Saccharomyces cerevisiae S288C: one gene and its partner. Changing the gene in region 1 together with any one later gene gives a genetic interaction. Each region holds a gene or a part of one and is shown on either strand. Other genes may lie near its edges.

Evidence for each region.
Region 2: mutations in REX4 (region 1) and HIT1 together harm fitness more than expected from each alone (negative genetic interaction), as found in Saccharomyces cerevisiae (one large-scale study listed by BioGRID).

Annotation. Positions count from the first base shown.
Region 1 is NC_001147.6:180,058-188,051, reverse strand, and holds REX4 (putative 3'-5' exonuclease), read left to right. Parts: upstream 1-6,624; coding exon 6,625-7,494; downstream 7,495-7,994. Other genes in the region: MDM20 (Mdm20p), read right to left, coding at 1-1,028; ribosome biogenesis protein BRX1, read left to right, coding at 1,329-2,204; ATP19 (F1F0 ATP synthase subunit k), read right to left, coding at 2,408-2,614; AVO1 (Avo1p), read right to left, coding at 2,840-6,370; Ras GTPase activating protein IRA2, read right to left, coding at 7,743-7,994. UniProt on the Saccharomyces cerevisiae protein: Exoribonuclease involved in ribosome biosynthesis. Involved in the processing of ITS1, the internal transcribed spacer localized between the 18S and 5.8S rRNAs.
Region 2 is NC_001142.9:535,449-541,187, forward strand, and holds HIT1 (Hit1p), read left to right. Parts: upstream 1-3,323; coding exon 3,324-3,818; downstream 3,819-5,739. Other genes in the region: BFA1 (Bfa1p), read left to right, coding at 1-303; KCH1 (Kch1p), read left to right, coding at 608-2,101.

The sequences.
Region 1 (7,994 bases):
TTAATGTGGCCGCTGTAATGATTCAAATCGATTGAACAACAAGGTTTGTTATGGTACTTTGATAAATAGTACGACAAAGATGATTCCGAAACCGAATCGGTGTACATTATATCAAGTTTCAAGCGCGCCAATCGAGTATTCCTTGAGTCTCCCAAATTTTCATCAATCCATTGTTTGACTTCGTCTTTAGATTTAGAAAGTTTGTAGGCAGCATCAATCAAGTTTGTGATCAATTCATAATCATCAAGGCCCTTTTCAATAAGTTTTGAACAAACTTCAAAAAGTTTTTGTGGAGAATTCAATAACTTGGTATGCTTCAAGATAAAGTTTTTCAAATACAAGTTTACTGAAGTATCAAAATTGGCAAAGGTAATCGCAACAATCTCTTCCGAGATTTCTCTAGATTGAGGGAATAGTTCATCCAACACCAAACAATAAACTATAATCTCTTGAACATTTTGAAATGGTTTCAAGTCTAACAAAGACTGGCGCGCTAGCCTGGAGAGCAAAATTTTCTTGGGATCTGAAAGAGTGTTTTCCTGAAACCTTGATACGGCTAAAATCGAGATTGCATTCCAAAAATAATATGCTCTTTTAGGCAGGTTTCCACTGTCACTGTATTTAGCTAGCTGTAGAGATGCTTTGCTCATTTGGTTATAATTGGAATCTTCCAATGCTTTCATAAACCAGTGATAAGACAATTCGTAGCTAGGGAATTTGAAATTTCCTCTTTCATACACGTGCAATGCTTCGTCGTATTTCCCTAACTCTACGAAGAAGTTGTGCAAAAACTCCAAGGAACGCGTGTCGCCCGTAATCGTTGTCCCTTTCAGCCCATATGGTTCTTCTAGCAGTTTATTGTAATCGAACTTACCAGGTGACTGCTTGAATTTAACATAGGTTTCCAAAATCTTGAAGTACAACGCATTGGGAAATTGTTTTTGCAATTGCCCCAGTTTTGCATAGCATTGTTTGAAGTTGGACCTGCTTACTAGTCCTAATATCTCCTCCTGTATCTTGTCGGACATGCTTCGATGCGATGATTGCTGTACCGAGCTCGTTATGTATCGTTGCTTCGCCAATGAATTCTGTTGCAGCTGACATTTATTATTTATTTTCCTAAAGCCCTCGGCGGTCCGTGGACAGTGATTTTCGTTAAAGGTGACTGAAAAATTTTAGATGCTCATCGCGATGGTTCTCAAAGAATCTATCACCTAAAAAGATACAGAAATTGCTATAATATTTACGAGTTAGAAGGTTACTTAGCCTTATTTTGCTTCACGTCTTTCTTTATACATTCGTCAGGTGTTGAAAGAGTTCAACCAAAGATGTCTTCTATCTACAAAGCCCTCGCAGGAAAGAGCAAAGATAATAAATCTGAAAAGAAGCAAGGCAATGTCAAGCAATTTATGAACAAGCAAAGAACTCTTCTGATTTCGAGTAGAGGTGTTAACTATAGACATCGTCATTTAATTCAAGACTTAAGCGGATTATTGCCTCATTCCAGAAAGGAGCCAAAATTGGATACTAAAAAGGATCTTCAACAGTTGAACGAAATCGCTGAGTTGTACAATTGTAATAATGTTCTATTCTTTGAGGCCAGAAAACACCAAGATTTGTATCTATGGTTATCCAAGCCGCCAAATGGGCCAACTATAAAATTTTACATTCAAAACTTGCATACTATGGATGAGTTGAATTTTACAGGTAACTGTTTAAAGGGTTCTCGTCCGGTATTGTCGTTTGATCAACGTTTCGAATCCTCCCCACACTACCAATTAATTAAGGAGTTGCTAGTGCATAATTTTGGTGTACCACCAAATGCTAGAAAATCTAAGCCATTTATTGATCACGTCATGTCCTTCAGTATTGTAGATGATAAAATATGGGTGAGGACATATGAGATCTCACACAGTACTAAGAACAAAGAAGAATATGAAGATGGCGAAGAAGACATATCATTAGTGGAAATTGGCCCTAGGTTTGTTATGACTGTCATTTTGATCCTAGAAGGTTCATTTGGTGGTCCAAAGATCTATGAAAATAAACAATATGTTTCGCCAAACGTCGTAAGAGCTCAAATTAAACAACAAGCTGCTGAGGAGGCAAAGTCTAGAGCTGAAGCTGCTGTGGAAAGAAAAATTAAGAGAAGAGAGAATGTTCTTGCCGCCGATCCTTTATCAAACGATGCCTTGTTTAAATAATAAGCATAATACTATCAGAGAGTTTTACATAACATTGTATATTAAAAAGATATAACAAGAAAAGAGTGGATGTAGCAACTGTCTAGTTATAGACCTCTTTTTAATAATTTAATGTTTAAATCTTGAATATCGAAAGCTGTATATATAAAGAATATTTATTGTATGTACAAAAGATCTTCAACCGCGCAGCAATCAAGCTATATTTACGCATCTTGCTTTTCCGAATGTTTCTTTAAGTAGTTTTCAATGAATTTTTCCTCGTCTTTGTTGTCTGTTTTGATGTCGACTGTTTTTGGCTTTGCGCTTTTAAAAGGATTTGGAACAACCAATAAACCTAGCAGTCCTAATGTCCCAATGGCTAGTTGGTGTGGAGGGATAGCTTTCCCCATGAAATGATAAGCAGCACCCATTGTCGTAGTTATAAATTATTATTTGAAGTCACCTGGCCTTATTCAATGCTAACGAGTTATGTGCTCTATGGGGGGACTTGCTCCTAAAAAGCTCTTTTTTTTCCCTTTGCATCGAGAAGCGGACTCTGACCAATCACCATCGAGATCGCGATGAAGTATTTTCTATACCATATTTAGATATAAACCAAAATTAATGCTGGTAAGATGCAGTATAATGGGTTTTACTTATTTATGATTCATTCTATAAGCGCTTAATAAGTTTTGTAATCGCGTCACGATCTCAGTACACTCTTGACCTGAAACTGCTTCAAAGTAGTACCTTTTGATATCATCTTGCCCCTCTCTTCTTACGAAAATTTTGAAATGCTCAGGGACTCTTTTGGATTTTTTGACAAGAACCACTTGACTAATGTGTAACGACTTAGTCTTTACATTATCATGCCAATGTATACGTCCCTCCGGGGGTACAATGTATATGTAGTCGCCATCAATGGCTAGTGTTCTTTCATGCTTGTTTATAAATGACATTTGCTGCCTTCTCCATACCTTATATTTATGATACGCTCCGGTAAAAAGATCTTGGAAGTTATCTCCAACTCCATTTGGAGTGTCAGGCGTGTGCTCCATCGTACTCTGAGAACGGTTTATATTATGAAACTGCAGTGTCCCATGCAAAGAGGATTTGGATGAATTCTTGTTCTTGAAAAACCCATTTCCATTGGCGAGACCGCCAGCCGTTGAAACACTTCCACTAGCAACACTTGATGACGAATGCTGCTTTGCCAAGCCCAGCTTATACTTCGTGGATATCTTCTTAGCTTTGGATGTAACTTTCGTGTTTTCAGGAATGGCAGCCACAGCCCCTCCAGCATCTGCTTTGAGATAAGAGTTCAGAGGCTCCAAAGTTAACGGAGTTAGATCATTACTTTGGATCGTTGGCAAAACGGGCTTCTTTAGGTCAGGTTTCATTTTTTCCAAATGCAACTCCCTTGCATCTTTTTTAGAGATGAGTTCCACCTTATTAATACCATCGAGCCTTAATACCGTATCATTCAAGTCCAGTATATAGTTCTTTCCTAGAACTTTTAATGCATATTCATTAGGATCCATATTTTTCATTTTGCAATATTTTACCAAAATATCGTTTATATGTGAGGTCACTAAAACACTTATGGTAGTATAGTTAAATTTGGGATTCACGTTAGGATACAAATATACTGTTACATCAATGATTTTCGAACCGTTTGTCTTATCGATGTCGTCTTCATTACCTATAATAGGTTTGTAGAAACTTAGTTGGTTGATGGTTCCGTCAGTTGTATCGTGACTGCTGTTAGCATCCAAAGTAGAAGCATCCATTAGGCCCCCACCAGTTTCAAATGGTAAAGGTGTTTCAATTTCATTTTGAGACTTCTCGGCATCATCAACCTTACATAAAACAACTTCGCTGTCCGAAATTGATTGAATAGTGCTTTTTCTATCTAGTTTACCAAAGTTATCCTCAAAAGGTTCACCGTCTTCATCGACAATTTTCAAAGAGAAGTTATTAGGATTAGAAATGTCTTCAACTGTCAATCCATCTTCTTCAAAATTGTCCGGTTTTTTCTCAGTAGAATACAAAAATAAAGCAAATCCAATAACTTCGAAGATGGTAGACGATTTTCGGACTTTGGTAGTGAAGGAATTTCTTTTATATTTTTTGGAAGCTTGAATGTATATTTCGAGACCCATTGATTCATAATTTGGTACTTTATCTCCGCAAACAAATGAAAAATATTCTAACACATCTACAGAATTAGTATTTGTTCTCTTTTTCTTTTTGTTGAACATATTCGATAACTGTGAGGCCTTCGGTTTCGACACTAGATAATCGGTGGTTTTCTCAATAAGGATGTTCCCCTCTTTCGAGCTTTTATGGACACTTGATGGAACACTAGGTTGAGAATGGTCCTGCTTTAACGTCAACGTGCTCTTCCTTGCCCTATGCAATACACTGTCAGAAACCTTTGGGGCTTTCATGTGTTCACTACTGGCCGTCGATGAAGTTCTTCCATGTCCTCGTAAAAGAGGAGACCTTGTTGAAGTTAAATTCGAGCTAACAGAAAATTTTCTATTAGAACTGGTTAAGGATGTTGGCTCCTTTCCTGATATAACAGTATCGCGCCTTTCTTTTGGGTGTCGCGATGAATTCATAGTCAGTACGGCTTTATCGAAGACATTGTTTAAGGTAGAGTCATCATCGCCATGATAGATGCCATATTTTTGCATAGACATTGGTATGGAATGAGAGGGTATAGTATTAGTTTGCATGTCTGAATCAAGAGACATTTCACCGCTCTCCATGGTTGACGAGTCGTTATTAGAATAACGTTCTTCGGAATATTCAGATCCTAAAAGGGACTTCCCATATGATGAGCCAGGAGTGATTCGGTCACGATTTTGTGCATTGAATTCATTGCTATTACTGCGGCTGTCTTTTGAATCCCTGTTCATGACCGCCGTTCCATCATTTGTAGATTCATGTCCTCCCAAATCAGATACTGTTTTGTTTATGTTTGAGGTCACTGTATCAAAATTCAAATCATCTAAATCTTTTTCATTGATATAAGATTCCATATCGGAAATATTGTTGCTTTCCGTTTCCGTCAAACCGTCCCTACTCACCGATCCGTTACCGCTGGCGCTGCTTCCATCTCCATGTATACCTTTATTGGCATTCAGTGAATCAGATTTTTGTCCATCATTTTTATTGTCAGTTAAAAAAATTTTCCCCTTTTGACTTGTGGGGAAATGAGATTTTAACCTTGAAGCACTTCCTATATTGCCATTTGAACTCTCTCGATCATCAAGAATGCTGATGCTGTTTCTGTTATTTGTGTAGGTGTTGTTTTTATTGTTGGACATGCCGTTGATGCCTTTGTGGGCTGGACTTGCTCCAGAACCCTTAGCATCAAAATCATCATCTAACTGAAAAAATTGAGAGTGTATATCGTCACCTTCTTCGTCATCGTCGTCGTCATCATCTTCTTCTTCTAAGTTTTCATCGAAATCGAAGTTCATATCGAATTTACTGCCTTTCTTATTATGGCGAGCACCAGGTGGATGCAAAGTAGATGATTTTGCTCTTGTATTAGTTGTATTCATGACATTTTTATTTCCAGAAGTATTTGAGTGGTCCCTTCGACTTTTGAATATCCTCACGAAAGGAAGCGACGATCTCTTACTAGATTTCTTCTGCATTTCCATCGAACTATTTAAATATGAGTCTTCCTTTGAGGAAGTTTTGTGATGTTTTCCACTGGTATGGTCGTCATCATTTAAAAGAGAGTTCGACGCAGATGAATTAAGTGGATTATAACGAAGTGTTCCATTTTCTTCAACTATCAGAGTATTTTTTGCACTTTTATCTTGCAAATTTCGTGTTTCTTCCTCGTCTCTTTCAGTCTTCTCTGCTCCTATTAAATTCTGGTTAGCCTTTCCTTTTTGGCCTTCATTCTCCCTCATTATCCTCATTTTCCCTAATGAAGCATAGTTTTCCATAAAATCCTTAGATACCGGTGGAGACTCTAGTTCAGGTAACAAGCTTACGCCGTCTGAGTTCATATATAATTCACGGATAGAAGAATCTAAGCACTGCTCTGTGTTGAATTCATCTACGGGTATGTACGGTTTTATTATTCTTTTCATTTGATCTTTCTCCGGACACACTCGTAGAAACTGAGCCCGCAGTTCATTTAATACCGTCACCGTGTCCATTATCGTCTTATTATGGTGTGGTGGGGGTTTTACAAACACTGTTTTATTTAGTTTTCCTGTTCAGTAGCCTGTATCTATTGAGAATTATTATACCGTATATTTTTTGACGCGGGCTGATATGTAAGGTCGGCTAAAAAAAAGAAAAATTTCAAAAGTTAAACTAACCTCATCGCAACCACAATCCATTTAAAGCCTGGTTCTAGAGGCTTCATAGACGTTTACAGATTTAATAAAGTAGATAGCGTACAGTTTTAATGGCTCTCTCTTCAAACTGGCAGGCACTATTAGCCTCCGAAAGCAATCCTACCTCCAATGGAAAGAATAAGCAATCAAATAGGAAAATCAGAAACGTTAAGAAAGTTAGCAAAACAGTAAATGTCAGTAGTACAACCCAATATGCCCCTCGAAAGCGCAAAAACGGCAGTAAAATTATGGACATGGTATATAACATGAACAAGGAGATTAGTAAGCATGAGAAAGACAAGCTCGAGGGAAAAGTGTTTGAATTCAACCCAAATAAAGCAAATACTAGTACTACTATTAAAGAGCCAGTAAAAGTGGGTATTTCGGAAGATACTCGTATTAATAGTAATAAGAGTAAAGAAATTGGGAAATACATCGCCATGGATTGTGAATTTGTAGGCGTTGGTCCCGAGGGTAAAGAGTCTGCGTTAGCTAGAATATCAATCGTAAATTATTTTGGACATGTCGTCCTCGATGAATTTGTTAAGCCAAGAGAGAAAGTTGTAGAATGGAGAACTTGGGTTAGTGGTATTAAACCAGAGCATATGAAAAATGCCATTACATTCAAAGAAGCTCAAAAAAAGACTGCGGATATTCTGGAAGGTAGAATTCTTGTAGGGCACGCTTTAAAGCATGATCTCGAAGCATTGATGTTATCCCACCCAAAGTCACTACTCAGGGACACTTCAAGACACCTCCCATTCAGGAAGTTGTATGCTAAGGGTAAAACACCCAGCTTAAAGAAATTAACCAGGGAGGTTTTAAAAATTTCCATTCAAGAAGGTGAGCATTCTTCAGTCGAAGATGCTCGTGCCACCATGCTATTATATAAAAAGGAAAAAACGGAATTTGAAAAAATTCACAGAAACACTTTCAACTAAGACGGTAGATGAATGGCCCCTTTTATTCTTACAATTAAAATGCATTGGTATGTACATTAGTCTATGTGGCGCTTGAATTTACTGAGCCATTCATTACACGATAGAATATATAAAAATTGTAGCTGTATAAAAGCAACCCACGTAACAAATTGCGAAAAATTAGCGATAAGAAAACCCTAACATGAGATATGTACATTCATGCTTACAGATAGATATTGATATTTCTTTCATTAGTTTATGTAACACCTCTAAGCAGAACATGACATCCTTGATAAAATCATTGTCATTATTCTCTTACGTTCATAGATATCTTCAGGTTTTACATCTAAAGGTATCATCATGTCGGAGTTCTTCGCAAATATACCAGAAGAAGTCACAATCGATAAACCTCTTTTGGTTAGACGTTCAATGGATTCTTCGTGAAGTTTTTCTAACGAATTAGACTCTGAATGCGTCACTAATAAGTTTAAAATATCGAAAGCAAGTGGAACACAATCCGA
Region 2 (5,739 bases), on another chromosome or scaffold:
GTTTATCAAAGTACGGCTGCTCAAGCAAGACTCCGTAAATACCATTCAATGAGGACACTTAACGGTACAACAGAAACTCCAGAAATAAGCTCTACTTTCCATTTGAGTTCAAGAGCATTGGAAAAATTTTACCACGAGGAGAACAGGTGGTGTAAAAAGTTAGCCTCATGGTTTATACCCCGAGATGAGACCATTATCAGTGTTGATGAGGAAACAATCATGGATGAAAGTACGGTCAATAGCAAGAGAAAATCCTATATGTATGAAATCAGGAACATGGTAATCAATTCGACAAAAGATTAGCCCTTTAGCCTTCTTATAACTGTTTCTTTACCGTTATCTTGAGTACATTCATTTCTCTTACATTCCAAAATTAGATAGAACCTTGAATCGTGTCAACTTTTCGCCGACATTTCGCGTCTGACAGAAAAAGAAATGTTGCAGAAAATTCGAATAGATGTTTCAAATGAAAATAGACCATGAGGGACACATTAACATTTCAAACAAAAGAGCCCTTGATGATTATTAAAACAGATCTTTATGGTTTGTTTAGCAAACACTTTGGTAATTTCATGAATATTTGACTAGCAGGAACAGAAAATCAAAAATGTTTAACCATGATTGGAAGTACTCCATTAATTCTAAGACTTTCGCCGATTTAAACATTGAATTATTTCGAAACCACAAGTTCAAAACTGTTTTAAATTACATAATAGGTGTAGTTGGGTGGAATGGATTAAAACTCGCCCTTTTTGTTTCTGACATTTACACATGTATCAAATTGCTGGCATTCAACTCCTGGTCAAACAACATCATCAAACCATACTTACCCTTTAAAATATCCAAATGGTTGTTTAGCGGTTGTATTTTAGCATCGATTGTGCTATTGATATGGGAGGCTATAGCGGGAATGAGGATTTACAAAACGGGAAATATCTCTTTGACTTATGTCAACAATTTTTCCAGAAACCTAAATTCAGTGCTCAATTATTCCAAGTTTTGTGTTTATAATATGATCGAACGAAAGGGTTTTCGACAGAAAATGACATTTTTTACTTTTTTTCAACTGAAAGATTGTATTAGATTAATCTTCACGGATACCCCAAGGCAAGTTATTAATGGTCTTACGCTGTGGTCAGTTCTCGTAACAGTAAATAAAAACGAGGATCTAGGCGATCTGGAATCATTTACCGGTTTGATCAACAAAATAAAGAACATTGGCCAGACCAATCATGAAGAAGCAGTGATATTGTCGCTGATGCTATTTTCCTTTATAATCTGGGCATTATTTGTCTTCAAGTTTCTGCTTGCTGTCATTTGCTCGATTTTTGTTTATTATAAAATAATCAATGATCAGGAATATAGCGGGTTGCGTGAGTACATTTGTGTTACCGTCAGCGAAAATGTTGATGAACTTGTTGAAAGACAAAGGAAAAAGGAAAATGATGACACGATTTATAAGACAGGTCTTCTCGAATCTCAGACTTTTGACGATTTTAAAGAAGTTGAAAATAAAATTGAAACATCTTTTAATGATACGTCATATGCTTCTAATAATGATTCTATGATTGAGCTAATAGAGAGAAGACCCGAATACAAAAGTCAGGATGTATGTGGGCCCATTCCCACAATGAAGAAAACGGAAACAATGGAATCGTTCGTTGACAATGGCAATCCACAATATACCACTAGATTCTCTGCGATTCTAGATTCACCATATATCAACAGCTATGAAAGTAATGATATAAAGAAAGCAAAAATACAAAGCAGAAGCGTAAATACTCCAAAATATGAGGATTTGTCTTCTTCTGACATTTTCAACAAAATACACTCTGCTGGACAATTAAAATCTACAACTTCTATGGAGTTTCACGGGCCATTAGATTCTATGCCAAATACAACAAACAACATCCGTAATTTTAATAGCAACAGTAGTAGACCTAGACCACCTCCTTTACAGACAAAAAGTTCGATTAATTCAAAAGCTGACTCGAATGATAATGGAAGGATTTATACACCAATGAAAGCGTACTTCAGGGAGCCTGATCTTCCGAGGAAGGGTTTGCTGGAAGATGAAGATCGTACATATAATTATACTTAATAGGCTGGCAAAAGCCCTTTGCATATTTCATGAATTAGATAGACGTGATTAGAAACAGCCGTTAGTATGTTTCTGATAAAAATAATACTTTTTTTGTAACACTATTTTCATATATTGGATTGATACCGGTTATAGCACAAACATAACAGCCATGAAAGTTTCTTTGAAAACCCCTTTTAACATTTGCTTGTAAGAGATAGGTTAATTTTTTATAGTTGCTGAGATTCCATTGTTGGTAAAGACTTAATATTAGGTATACAGAATATACTAGGAGTTCTCTCTGGGTATGTAGGAATCCACAAAAGGGTGTCACTAGTTCAACATAATAACATCTTTTTTTTATTCCTTCTTTGATATTTTGTCATATTATCCTATTATTTTATCAATCCTTGCATTTCAGCTTCCAATAGATTTGATATTTGTTTCTCAATATTATGTCATCTTCATACACAGTATGTGATAATATACTAGTAACATGAATACTACTAAATGAGTACTACCTTAGGGGTTCATTACAGCAGCTTAAGCGAAAGTAGAAAATGAGGCGGATATTTGTTGGAATAAAAATCAACTATCATCTACTAACTAGTATTTACGTTACTAGTATATTATCATATACGGTGTTAGAAGATGACGCAAATGATGAGAAATAGTCATCTAAATTAGTGGAAGCTGAAACGCAAGGATTGATAATGTAATAGGATCAATGAATATTAACATATAAAATGATGATAATAATATTTATAGAATTGTGTAGAATTGCAGATTCCCTTTTATGGATTCCTAAATCCTCGAGGAGAACTTCTAGTATATCTACATACCTAATATTATTGCCTTATTAAAAATGGAATCCCAACAATTACATCAAAATCCACATTCTCTACAATATTGATTTCCATCGTGTAAGTTTTCTGCACGAAGTTTATTCATTCAATTTGAAGTGCTTCGTAATAATATTACTATGCAACTTAGGTACCTCATATTTCTTAGAGTTCAACCAAGTTGGTTCCGTTGGCGTAATGGTAACGCGTCTCCCTCCTAAGGAGAAGACTGCGGGTTCGAGTCCCGTACGGAACGTTGATTATTTTTTTTTTTTCGTTTCTTTATAGAAAAAATTCAGACGATATTACCTTGCGATGAGATAATCTTACCGCAGAAAGAGTGCCACAGTGGTAATAACTAGTTGAAGGTTCATATTATATAAAAAACTCTAAGAATAAAAATGGTATCTAGTGCAGTTAAATGTGGCATATGTCGCGGAGTTGATGGTAAATATAAATGTCCTAAATGTGGCGTACGATATTGCTCCTTGAAATGCTATAAAGATGCTGCAAAGCATGTTCATAAGGAAAGCGAACAACCCAGGGCTGGTACAGAAGCTAATGTGGAAGTTGTTAATAACGATAAGATCATAAACAGTTCACTCGCAATGAATAAAACATTAAAGACGAAGGCATTCGATGATATATATCAAAATAGCGCAGAATTGCAAGAGCTGTTGAAATACAACACGGTGAAGTTCCATTTGGCAAAGGTTTATAGAATTTTGTCCAGTACTGTTAACGATGGAAGTTCTGGAAAAATGAACAGCGATCTACAAAAAGAACTAGCTGTAAATTATTTGAATACATTACGATATGGTGGTATACATTATAATGAAGCAATTGAGGAATTTTGCCAGATTTTATTAGATAAATTAAATGCGGTGAAGAAATAAGAATTATCGTTGTTAGCATGATTTTTAAGATTGAGCATTTTATTCATTTTTAACCATATAATAGTGAAGGTGAGGACTAATAACAAAGTACTTGTTGAAAGGGTCGGGTTGCTTTTAGGTTTTTTCTTCTCGTTAAGGATTTCCCACTTGTCTGGCAAGGCGTCAAGCAGACTTGGAAAATAATGATATTATGTCAGAATTTTTGTGTGAGGCGCTTCTATTGCAAGTTTGTGACACCTTATAATAAAAGTGAACCATGTATTTACATATGATTAGGGAAAGTTCCACCATCATCTTATGATCTTCATGGCCGTTTTGGTCTTCTTTTTAACTTGAAGTCCAACTTGGCGACTGTACATATATACATATATATAGCAATAAGTATAACAAGGCAACAAATCAGGTCCCATTATTTAATTTGAAGTCATCTACTGCCCCATAAGAACCTCTATATTATCAGTAGATTCTTTCTTTTAGGGAAATCGAACCTCGATATTGTAAGAGAAACCCGCGCCACTCCTAAAAAGGTATTTTGAAGGAGAGGATGATTTGGAGCAACATTTGGTACACTTTATCCTCAGTTTTTCGCTAACTACCTCGCAACTTGTTGTTGTGGATGAAATTTTTGATATTAATTTCAATAAATAAAATATATGCAAATATCATTATAATTTGTCAAGTGCGGGAAATAGACTATGCAGTGATTTAGTGTGCAAGTTTGCCCACTTCACATTCATACCAAATATTTCTTCCCACTCATTTTTATCGTATTAGCACTACATACGTGACTTTTTAGCTCAGCTTTCGGACTGGATAGCTTTACTGACTTACTTTCTACAAGCGATATCATTCGTCACAGTACTCCAAAGAAGTCTGGGCATTTAATTTTCTTCTTTATCAAGTCCGCCATTATGAAGGAATGTATTGGGTAATAGTTGACATACCGATGTTCTGCTGGTAGCATCGATGAACGAAAATAGGTAACGGCTTGCCGCTGAAGATATTGGAAATGAGACAGATCATTCTAGGGTAAAATGCGCTGTAGAGCTAGCGTCAATTGCGATTTTCGAACACTGGCTGCAGGTATTTCTGTTTTCTCGGCTTTCATTATAGTAATGTGAAGCTACTAGGAGAATCACGAAACATCTTTTTAGTAGGATGAGAACACCACGCTCTCCTAACTGGAAGTAATTTTTGGTATGCTTAGAGATCTGTTCCTCTCTTATGACTTCTTTTTCGCCTACTATAAACTTAATATCAACATATTTAGTTAGTTTTTTCAGAGCAATACGTGTTTATTTTTTCACAACTTCGCATGGCATTATGTATCATTGCAGCGTAAATTTTTACATTTAGTAATATCTAATAACATATACACAAAAAAGGGACAGATTTTTGAATTAAATAAACCAAGCGTAAATCAGTATTGCTCTTACCGCAGTAGGGGGAGTTATCTACTCCTGCTTAACGTAGAGAAACAATAGTAAAAGTTATGCTTGTGTTGGAATAAAAATCAACTATCGGCTGGCAACTAATAGGGACACTACCAATATATTATCATATACGGTGTTAGACGATGACATAAGATACGAGGAACTGTCATCGAAGTTAGAGGAAGCTGAAATGCAAGGATTGATAATGTAATAGGATAATGAAACATATAAAACGGAATGAGGAATAATCGTAATATTAGTATATAGAGATAAAGATTCCATTTTGAGGATTCCTATATCCTCGAGGAGAACTTCTAGTATATTCTGTATACCTGATATTATAGCCTTTACCAACAATAGAATCCCACCAATTATCTCAAAATTCACCAGTATCTTAAAGAGAATGTGGATTTTGATGTAATTGTTGGGATTCCATTGTGATTAAGGCTATAATATTAGGTATGTAGAAAGTACTAGAAGTTCTCCTC